Oryzias latipes: one gene and its partner. The protein of the gene in region 1 interacts with the protein of each later gene in a pairwise test. Links are inferred from orthologs where the notes say so. Each region holds a gene or a part of one and is shown in the gene's direction. Other genes may lie near its edges.

Region 1 (5,364 bases):
TTTTTGGTCTACAGGGTGAGAGCTTTGTTTGTGCTACAACGGACTGTATTTATGTCACTTGACACTTAGGTGACTTCATGTTCACCTCACTCAAATGTTTCTGCAACACAGCTGCCCTCTTTATAGTGAACATTGACAGTGTAAACAGGGAGCAAGTAGGATGTTTAGAAGGGACACAGTCAGAAAATATGATAGCTGTCTTAATAGTAAGTGTTGAAGGAATGACAAGTACAGAATATGAATCCAACTCTCGACCCTTAATATGGGAATAAACCTGTAGGTTTATGTTATGTAAAAACTAATCTGTGAAATTAAGACTATTTGTTGTTCATTTTGTTAGGTAAAAATACACATTTGCTGCTTATATCTAAAGAAAATGTTAAAGAACAGACTTGACGCATTTACTTTAAATTTCATTTCTTTGTTTTTTTTTGTGTTTTTTTACTGTATTTTACCTGTAAATTGTCCTTGAGAATTTTATGAAGTGCTTTTTAAAAGTAAATGCTTGATGATGATGATTATTGTAATAATAATTATAACAACAATAATAATATTTTATTTTTGATCATTATAAGGATTATTATTACAATTATTATTTATTTTTATTTAATTTTTGACACCTTTTTTGTATTTTGGCAACTTCAGGCTTTAGGTTTATAATCATCAATTTTTAACAAAAAATAAACTGGGGGGGGGAGGGGGGTGACTGAAAAATGTGATCGTTTTGTGTCAAAAGTATTTTTCTTTTCCTCAAAGGTCAGTTAATATTGGATCAGGTTAAAAAGTTACATTTTTGATGAGTCCGACTTTCTGAGAATCAAAGTTACAAGAAAACACCTCTCTTTATCTAGAAATGTCCCTTTTACTGGGAAGAACATAATTTATTGCTTTTGTTAAAAATTAAACTTTTTTTTTACTTTTCTTACATAATCTAATTTAATTACATCTGGGGAGTTTTTTCCTAGACAAGTCTGACAAATGATTGTATCATTTTAATATGTTGAAAAATTCAGACTAATGTGTGATGAAGAAAATGTGGATTTAACCCAAAAGTTTTAAAACAGCGTAAATGAACAAACGGATCTTGGAATGTACTAGACTTGTCCTCTTGCTGAGAAGGAAGTGATCCAAAGTTATATAATTCAGCAAATCCGATGCTTGGTGCATTTTCAGTTGAGCTGGTCACAAAACTTTCAATTTTATTGTCAAAAGAAAAGTTGGCATGAATAAATATTATAAATATAAAACAAATTCCAGTCCGTGTAAGCAGTTATTGCATCCATTTAGCATCTAATTCACAGATTTTAACCTTTGAACAGGACGAGAGAGAAACCAAGATTTATAGTATTGTTAATACTCTACAATCTTTTGGGGCACTTTAAATCAAAAACTTCCACTTTTATTAAAAGTCCCAATACGTCACATCTGAACAGTATGTAAATCTGCAATGCAACTAATGAGATATTGTACATTTTTTTATGGAGAAATAAAACCAACTATCTATGAAAATCTGTCACTTTTTATTCCTCTGATGAAGGAAGCTTACATTTTATTGAACTTGGCACACTTACCGATACACTTAAAGTAATCTAGATTAAAGAATTATTTAAATAACCCAACTCCTTTTTTGACACTCAATCCTCCTGATGTGTCACAATCTCCCTCTAGGTAGTTTCTGCTTTTTTTCTGTTAAACATTTGAAGCTAAAGATAAGAGCTTGTTCCAGGATGATCTTGTATCTATTCCATCGGCCACTTTTTATACCAATATTATTCCTAATTTTAAATTGAATCAAAGTCTGTTCTTTACCACAAATTCCTTTATAACAAACAATGTCATATTTTTGTACAGTATTTTACGTATTTCAGTGCAAAAAATGAATACTATAGCATGCTATTTTACAATTAGTAATACTGAAAAGTCAAGTAAATAAGATTTATTTAAAAACTAAATTTAAGAAAAAAATTTCTTATTTGATTATTCTTTTTTATAAAAAATAAAACGGAAGTCACGAGTCTCTTTTCAGCGACGTTTCCGCTCTCTTTTCGTGGAGGCTTAGCTAGCGGCCGGGTGAGTACACGTTGAGTTCATTCTACGGTTATGCTATTTTAATCATTTATGAGCTACTGAATTCGACCATACTAGTCAATTGTTGTCAAATAAACATACGATTCACATTTGTATTTTGCTCACATGGCTTTAATACGTAAAATTCCGCTGATCTTGACTAAATCCATCGCTAACTGTAGGCATGTGGTGAGGCCTGACTAGCCCAGTAAGCTAACAGCTAAACGAACATCTACAGGCGTTCATTTAAATACACAGTAATGACTTTATTAATTCTTAAACATGCATAGCAAATACAATATCAATAAAGACTCTGAAGATTACTTGTTTTTGTTTAAAAACGTTAGTTGGACCTCAGCCAGAGATGCGGCGTAATCTCGGGTCTAGTTTAGCTAGCTGCACTTGTACAGAAGTGTAAAATAACTATCTTCTTTTTTATTCAGACTGCAATCATGCAGATTTTTGTGAAGACATTGACGGGGAAGACCATCACCCTCGAGGTAGAGGCCTCAGACACTATCGAAAATGTCAAGGCTAAGATCCAGGATAAGGAAGGTGAGTTCATATGAACTAATTAAAAGCAGGGATGTGAAGTTTTTTGTTTTTACGATTAAATAGCTTTGTTGTGTTACATATTTCAAAGTCCTATATGAAGATATTTATATATTAATTGATATAGGTCATATTAATTGATATAGTTCTGCCATTACGTGTTTGGTTGACTTATTTTTACCTTGTCTGCAGGAATTCCCCCTGATCAGCAGCGTCTGATTTTTGCTGGAAAGCAGCTCGAGGATGGACGCACCTTGTCAGACTACAACATCCAGAAAGGTATTGGCTCTTTTTGCACAATACTGGTATTGAAATCAACCTGCCAAATGGTCCTTTGTAGAAGGCGAGGTTAAAAGTGCTTGTGTATTCTGAGCCTGCAGTTAACAATATGTTGTCTCCCTACTAGAATCAACCCTTCATCTGGTTCTTCGTCTGCGTGGTGGTATCATTGAGCCTTCACTCAGACAGCTGGCTCAGAAATACAACTGCGACAAGATGATCTGCCGCAAGTAAGATTACATGTTGCTATTTTTTGAAATGGCTTCCAGGTTGAGAAACCTGGTTAAAAGTATACAAACTTGTTATTCTGTAAAGTTGAAATTTAAAGGATTACCTTACCTGAAATGCTTTTGTAAAAAATGCATATTCCTAAAGGCACATACAGTTGTGGGCAGTTCTCGACCTTATTTTCCCAACTTGTGGTGTTAGCAGGAGCAGCTGTGAGCTCCACCTTTTCCTATAGATTGTCTTTATTTTTTCTGAACCCTATAATATCCCTGGTCATTTTTGCAGGTGCTATGCCCGTCTGCACCCACGTGCCGTCAACTGCCGCAAGACGAAGTGTGGCCACACCAACAACCTTCGCCCCAAGAAGAAGCTGAAGTAAACATTTCAGTTGAATTGGCATTTTGTGCCATTTGGTGTTAAAATAAATGTTAACAAAACCATTCCAGGTGTTGTTTATTTAGCCTGTGGAAAAGACGAAAGGTATTGGAAGCTGCAAGTGCAAAAAGTGAGGTTATCTTTAAAAAAAGTTGCAGCTGGTGACATATTATTTTTGTTTTTCAGATTCCCTAAGTATCTAATATTCTATCATGTTAAACTGTGTTACTTGCGTTACAATTGTTCAGCTTAATTAATTAAATCAATGAGGAAAAAACTGGGCTTCTGACAGTGGGGCCAGCTTAAAGAGAAAACTTCAGATACCATTGCTCCACAAAGGGAAGGTATTGTTAATAGTAAAACTATTTAACCTTTTTAAATATTCCCCCCCAAAAACCTATGCAAAAGTAACAGCTGTCCAAATTTGTAGTCCTGCCTTGCCTCAGTCTAAAGCATTTAAAGAGCTATGGCAGATTATATTTGTGATATTTAATGGCCCATAAATCTGATCATATTGGAGCTTGTGTACTGTACTAATGGACCTCATCACAATGGAAATTGGATAAAGAGAAGGTAAACCAGAATTGACATTTCTGCTCTTTTTTTGACAGATTCCACTGAAGGATTTGTGGTTTACATAACCTAAATGAACATATAGCTGGTTTGATTTCCTGCTATATTTTACAGGTTATCTTAAATCTTGCATGCTTTTTGGTGATTTTACAAGACAAATCTTTTAGCTCCACAAAAATTATATGAAAAGATCATAGTGAGACAACTATTGTTTAAATCGAAAGTTATATCAAATCAATTATTTCCGTAATGGCGAATGGGAGCTGGATGATCATTCCAAATCAAACGTTTTCATGGCTCTATTGAGAAATTCTAAGAAAGATCAGATCATTTTTGATATAAATCTAAGTGTATGGGTGGTAAATTAAGTTTCTTAAAATGATTAGAAAACCTGGGCTGCATGGTGGCGCAGTGGTTAGCGCTCTTGTTTCACAGCAAGAAGGCCCCTGGTTCAAGTCCCGGCTGGGGGACATGAAAAACAAAACATCAATGGAAGACCTTTCTGTGTGGAGTTGGCATGTTCTCCCTGTGCATGTGTGGGTTTTCTCCGGGATCTCTGGCTTCCTCCCACCATCCAAAAACATGTTTAATCGGTTAATTGGCAACTCTAAATTGTCCAAAGGTGTGAGAGTGAATGGGTGTGTGATTGTGGACATTCCACCCTGGGACAGACTGGCGACCTGTCAAGGCATCCCCTGCCTTCGCCCAAAAGTGGCTGGGATAGGCTCCGGCAGCCCCGTGACCCCGAAAGGGACTAAACTGAATAGAAAATGAATGAATGAGAAAACTTGTTGAAAACTTTTGTTTCCATGTGACCAAAGATGTACAAAAATAAATCCTTCTACACAATCTTTCAGTTTATGAAGTGTTTAACCCTTTATATGCATTTGTAAATTGAGAATATTAGTAAAGACAGGTTGCCAAAGAGGATTATTTTCTCTAAACATACTTGGAGGATGAGGTTTTGGCAGTAAATGAGTGTCGTAAATGTGTAAGATTAGCAATAATATTTAAATACATAATGTAGAGTGAAATGGACACATGACATAAGCATCATTAACTTTAATGTCCTTACTTTTAAAACTTTACTCTTCAGTGTAAGACTACACATACTTTAATTTTAATATTTGATATATTTTTAAACGCATTTAAACATAAAAAAATGTATAAGCAACTTTGAATTGACCGTTGATCAATTGCAAATGCAATGATTTCAAAAGTTATCCAGTAAATACAGCAAAATGGAAATTAGAAACATGTTTAACAATTGTGAGAATTTGAATGTGTGCA
Region 2 (5,166 bases), on another chromosome or scaffold:
TCTGCTTATTATCTATTCTAACAGGCAAATATGTTTTTGTACACATTTGCATGTAACAACTAAGCTATCAGATCATACTATAACTGACGTTATAAAATGAAAAACAACTATTTTTAGATATCGGCCACTTACAACAAGGTGATTATCGTGCTTTACATGAAGAATACCATCTTATTCTAAACATGCAGTTTTTGCAACAACACTCAAAACTGGGAGAAAATACTGTTGTGCGCCTAACTCAAAGGTTAAATGTTAGTCTCGGGAATCTGCCCCGGACCACACATGATCAACAGAGCATCTTGTGATCAGGGGGATTCTGTCTGCGATGACAATTTTAGAGCGTTAACTTTTTAAAGGTCATAGATTCGTAACTAGGACAACAGTTAAGATCGCATTTATATACCATATGTAGACAACAACTTCTTACTTTACGCATCTCTGTTAGATTAAGACAGAATTGCGGTTAAACTGGATAAGGAAGTGTTGAAATGATACTTTTAGGAGTATTTTACTTTCATTGTGAAGTTACATAACAAGTCAAACGCGGGTTTAGCAGATTTTCGCAGGTTATTTTTTTTCCCGCATCATGTTTATGTCATGTGCGTATTATATCATGAAGATTGTTTACGAAATGTCAGTCACTGTCGACCAAACGTTCACGTCGGATTCTAAGCAGGGATCATATTTTTACAAACCCCCAGGCTGTAACGCCTGCCTGCCAATGTGACTTTTCACTTAGAAAAAGCATAAAGTTCTTTTTTATTATTATTTTTGTTGTTTATTTACTGTGATGATTTGGCAAAGCTTTACTTTAGCTAGTGGCTAAGCTACAACCTCGATCTTGACAGCTGGAACTTTTTATGTGTATAGCAATATTGTGAACATGGTATTATTTTAGTTAGAATAAAAGAAAGAACTATTAAATTCCAATACTGACATTAGCCCTGGTTATGTCATGGTACAGAATGCCATAGTCCATGCTATGTGCTTAGCTTCGTCTGTGGCCTGCCTAACGAGACCTGTCTATACCGCCACCGCCCCTCACGTCAAACTAAACTCACTCAAACACAAAAAAACATTATTACCCGTTTTGTTCCGCCCGTTCTCTCAGAATCCAAACGAACCCGATGTATGCTCGAACTAGGGATAAAACTGGTCCTCGAATCAGTTTTATTTAAACTGAATTCTCTTTCCTGCTTCGTCGTAGGTCGCCATCTTGATTTACAGAGCACCCTCCGCTGGTTCCTGTGTGGCGTCACAAAACGTCAGACAAAGATGGGAATCAATGTTTTCCATAATTTCAAAAACATAAAGATTTTAAATAATCTCTCTCTCTCTCTCTCTCTCTCTCTATATATATATATATATATATATATGTATATATATATATATATATTATTTATTTATAACATGGCGAGACTTAAACAATCATGTTTAATTAAAATAAAATTCTCCAAATGTTTATGTTGAAGATTAAATACTCGATTAGCATAATAATGAGACATACACACTTTTTTTGTTACTTTTACACCGAAAGAATAACTTATATTACTTTCAATAAAGTGAAAGATAAAAGACATTATCTTGAACATGTGTTATAATTATTATTTTTAGAAAGTAATTCGTGTTGGTCTGTTTTTGACAAAGTAAGTCAAAGCACGCGCTGTTACCCCTCTGCTCTGTCGAGTGCGCGCACGTCACGTTCGGGTTGTTACGCTCGTTACGTTCTACAGACACGCGCAATGATAGCCGGAAGCATCGATAGGCTAAAAAATAAAATATCGATTAAATCCACTGTCATACTTGAATGTAAACGTCTCTCTTTGGGTCTTTCCTGCGACCGCGGGCTCGAACGTCCCCGGGATTCACGCCGCTGCTGTGCTGGAGGGGACGGCAGGGAGCGGAACAGCTCCTCTTTTTTGACCCAAGTTGTTCGGTAGGGGTTTAGCTGACGTTGGAGAAGTTGAGACTGCTGGAGAACAGATAAACAAACATAAACACGCAGCGATCAGCTGGGCGCCAGTCTGAATCGAACCGAGTGCTTGGAGAGATGGCACGGAGAGGAAAATGACAAGTGTGAGCCCGAGAACAAGCTAAAGGAGACCGTGTCAGACTGATATTTATTTGTTCCCTGGCAACTGTCAACACTGCTGGCACATAAAAGAATTTCGAACAAAAATACAACACGAGGACCAGCCTTAGGCTCTTGTTGAAATCAGCTGTTCCTGTTATTGTTTTTGTCGAGACAGGATGGTTAGTATGGACAAATGAGATTATCTACGTGGTTTGAGCCGTAAAGACCTGAACACAAAGCAGTGCAAGGAGAGAGGTAACCACTTTTCATTAACTTCTTCCCCCTTAAAGGGCCTCCGAACTGAACCTAGCTTGGCAGGCCACACAGCATGTTTGGGCTTGTTTTTTTGTTTTGTTTTGTTTTTTTAATTCGTTCCACTTACTGATTTTTTTTCTCCTGTTTGCGGTTTTCAGAGAGTGTTGCTCCAAGTGCATCTAAAAATGATCCTTAAATTTTTCCTGTAGTCGTCCTGACAACATCTTGAATGTGACCACATGTATTGGTTCCCCCCTCTTTTTCCTGCCCCGCTGCAAATGGGATCAGCATGGCCCACCAGACAACCCCCAGTTCACAGAAGGCCTTGATGATGGAGCTGAAGTCCCTGCAGGAGCAGCCGGTGGAAGGCTTCCGCATCACCCTGGTGGAGGAGGCTGACCTTTACAACTGGGAGGTGGCGATTTTCGGACCCCCAAATACCCTCTATGAGGGAGGCTACTTCAAGGTGGGACAAACCCTCCAATCGGGTGTACTCAAGGAAATCCAGCTTCTGGATGTTTAAGGAGATAGATTTATGAAAGTGCGTTCTGTTGTGGAGGCACCCTACGGCTGTAACGATTCATTTTAACAACAATTTGATTCATATCATAATTTTTGGTTGACGATAAGATTCATTGTCGATATTGGTTCATTTTGAACAATCCGATTTGATCCAATTTACTGACCTAAAATAAATACAGGACATCTTTAGTCAAAATTCCACCAGTGTGACTCAGAGATAAATACTTAGAACTGAACAGTGAAGGTAAAGTCTTCCAGATCCCAGGAGTTTCTTGCACGATAATCAAGTGTAAATTAAATATGTGTACAAACATACAAGTACACAAGAGTTAATGTCAAATCCATTCACATTTTAGTTTTATAAAGTTCAGCCTACTGTTATTTCCCACATCAAAATAATCCAAAGGGAGCATTATTAGAACATTCTAGCTCACTGCATGGTCACATGTCTTTGCAAAATTCAAAGTATTTCCACACATTGGACTGGAATGATAGACTGATCAGCTTTTCCTGCACATTAGTGTTGATCTCTACTACTAATGCACACCTGAGTGTGAGAGGGTCAGGGGGAGCGGAGAAAGTAGTTTATGGCTCGCCCAGCGTATTTTCTGCATCACAAATAAACTCCCTTTCCAACAACATTTTTTGGTCTGCTCCTGGTTCACAACAATTTGAGTAAAGGAATACTCGGAAATGCAATTTTAAGCTTAATTGTCTTTATAAATGTCCTCCATTGTGAGAAAAAAGAACCTGTTAAAAGCAACAAAAACACGATTTGCAGTGGAGTGGGTCTTTAATGCTCATTGGAAAACTGCTTATTTATTGGGGCCTTTATTGAGTAGTTAGATTGTAAGTGCAAATTCAGAGGACTTGTGAGTTTTTTGGTAAGTCTTACGCTTTTGCACATTCAAGCATGAACGGTGGAGCTTCCTTTGCAAAGTCTTGCATTTAAGAAAGATACAAAATTTGTACAGATACAGACCACTTACCACAAATGGGTTCCTTATTCCTTATCGTGCTAAACTGGAAATGTACTTGGTAGCCTATGTTTGTTAATTTGTACAAACATTTTGCCACCTTACAGATTTTAGTTCTTTTTTTTTTTTTTTAAACACAATTTCATAACCAAGGTTTCCTCAGGGTGCTATACAAAGACTACATACAAATCCCTGACAAAAACAAGGTAAAAACTTTTTTAAATCCTATAATTTTTATTATCAAAATTTAAATAGGACAAAATAACCCCAACAAAGTCAGATTGAAATAAATGTCTTTTAATAGTGGTTTGTGGCCAAAGAGTGAGGCTGAAGAACTATCTTGTATTTTTGCTGTACTGAGTATACATGTACAGAAATGACTGAAATGACTGTGGACAGGAAAACTGCCTTTAAACAGAAGAAATCTCCAGGAGAAGCGGGCTACAGGAAGAAGCCAGTGGTGGAAAACAAACACAGAAATGTGTGTTGAGAGACCAAAAAAAAAAAAAAAGAGAAAAATCAGCAAAAGCAATACTGGCTTAAGATGAGCGATAAAAGCAGATTCAGGAAACATTCACAATTAGGGAAGATTCCTGCTGCATCCTAGAATTTTATTACAAAGTCAGGTGTTACGTCTATATCCAAGTAAAAAAAGTCGTTTGTATTTAAAACTTGTAGAGAAGTTTGATCTCTTTTCTCAATTGTTAGCAAAACTTTACAGATTTTGAATCATTTAGATTTTCAATCATTTTGCTGCCCAACCTTCAGGATCTACCACGCAGCCTGACTTCCAGCTCTCCCTGCTCTTCTTGCTACTGTTTTGCTGGATCAGGTGTGTTCAGTAAATCACCCGAGTCTGCAAATCAGCAGCAAGGAGGGAAAGAAAAGCTGGAAAACAGGCAGGGTGGGAGATCTCCAGGATCTGATAGAGGTTTTTCCGACCTAGTAGTAAGACGTCACAGACACACAGACTAGTCTCTCTTTGATTCTGAGAGAATGTGCCTGATTTTTAGCAAATTATGCAAGCACAGAGACTTAATCTATGTCATAATACATAAATCATGCTCATAAAGTTTTCATTGGTACTACTGGAACTTAAAATATTGCCATTCAGTGTATTTTTGTTGTTCTAAGCTGCTGAGGCCTTAAAAAATAACATGTCATGTTTCACCATAGAAGACAGGAAATCAAAAGTCATCCAAGCCTGAATTTCACATTGATATTTTTTTAACTTCAAAAAATCATCTGTCTCAGAAATTGTTTCCATCTTTTAATTAAAAAATACATTTGCTTGGTGCACTTCTGCTAGTTGAAACCTCTTTCTCCATGTCCCTTTAT

What was found. The genes of interacting proteins can lie anywhere in the genome.
Region 2: the proteins of uba52 (region 1) and ube2r2 interact in a two-hybrid assay, tested with the Homo sapiens proteins (2 studies listed by BioGRID and IntAct, with this or other methods). The link is inferred for Oryzias latipes from reciprocal best matches to the Homo sapiens genes UBA52 and UBE2R2.

Annotation. Positions count from the first base shown.
Region 1 is NC_019862.2:13,930,169-13,935,532, reverse strand, and holds uba52 (ubiquitin-60S ribosomal protein L40), read left to right. Parts: upstream 1-1,966; 5' UTR 1,967-2,070; intron 2,071-2,510; 5' UTR 2,511-2,519; coding exon 2,520-2,622; intron 2,623-2,811; coding exon 2,812-2,898; intron 2,899-3,025; coding exon 3,026-3,128; intron 3,129-3,411; coding exon 3,412-3,501; intron 3,502-4,112; coding exon 4,113-4,122; 3' UTR 4,123-4,252; downstream 4,253-5,364.
Region 2 is NC_019863.2:17,254,554-17,259,719, reverse strand, and holds the start of ube2r2 (ubiquitin-conjugating enzyme E2 R2), read left to right. Parts: upstream 1-1,689; 5' UTR 1,690-1,936; exon of another isoform or gene 1,937-2,249; 5' UTR 2,250-2,329; intron 2,330-2,608; exon of another isoform or gene 2,609-2,617; 5' UTR 2,618-2,618; coding exon 2,619-2,795; intron 2,796-5,166. UniProt on the Homo sapiens protein: E2 ubiquitin-conjugating enzyme that accepts ubiquitin from an E1 ubiquitin-activating protein, and catalyzes its covalent attachment to other proteins by an E3 ubiquitin-protein ligase complex.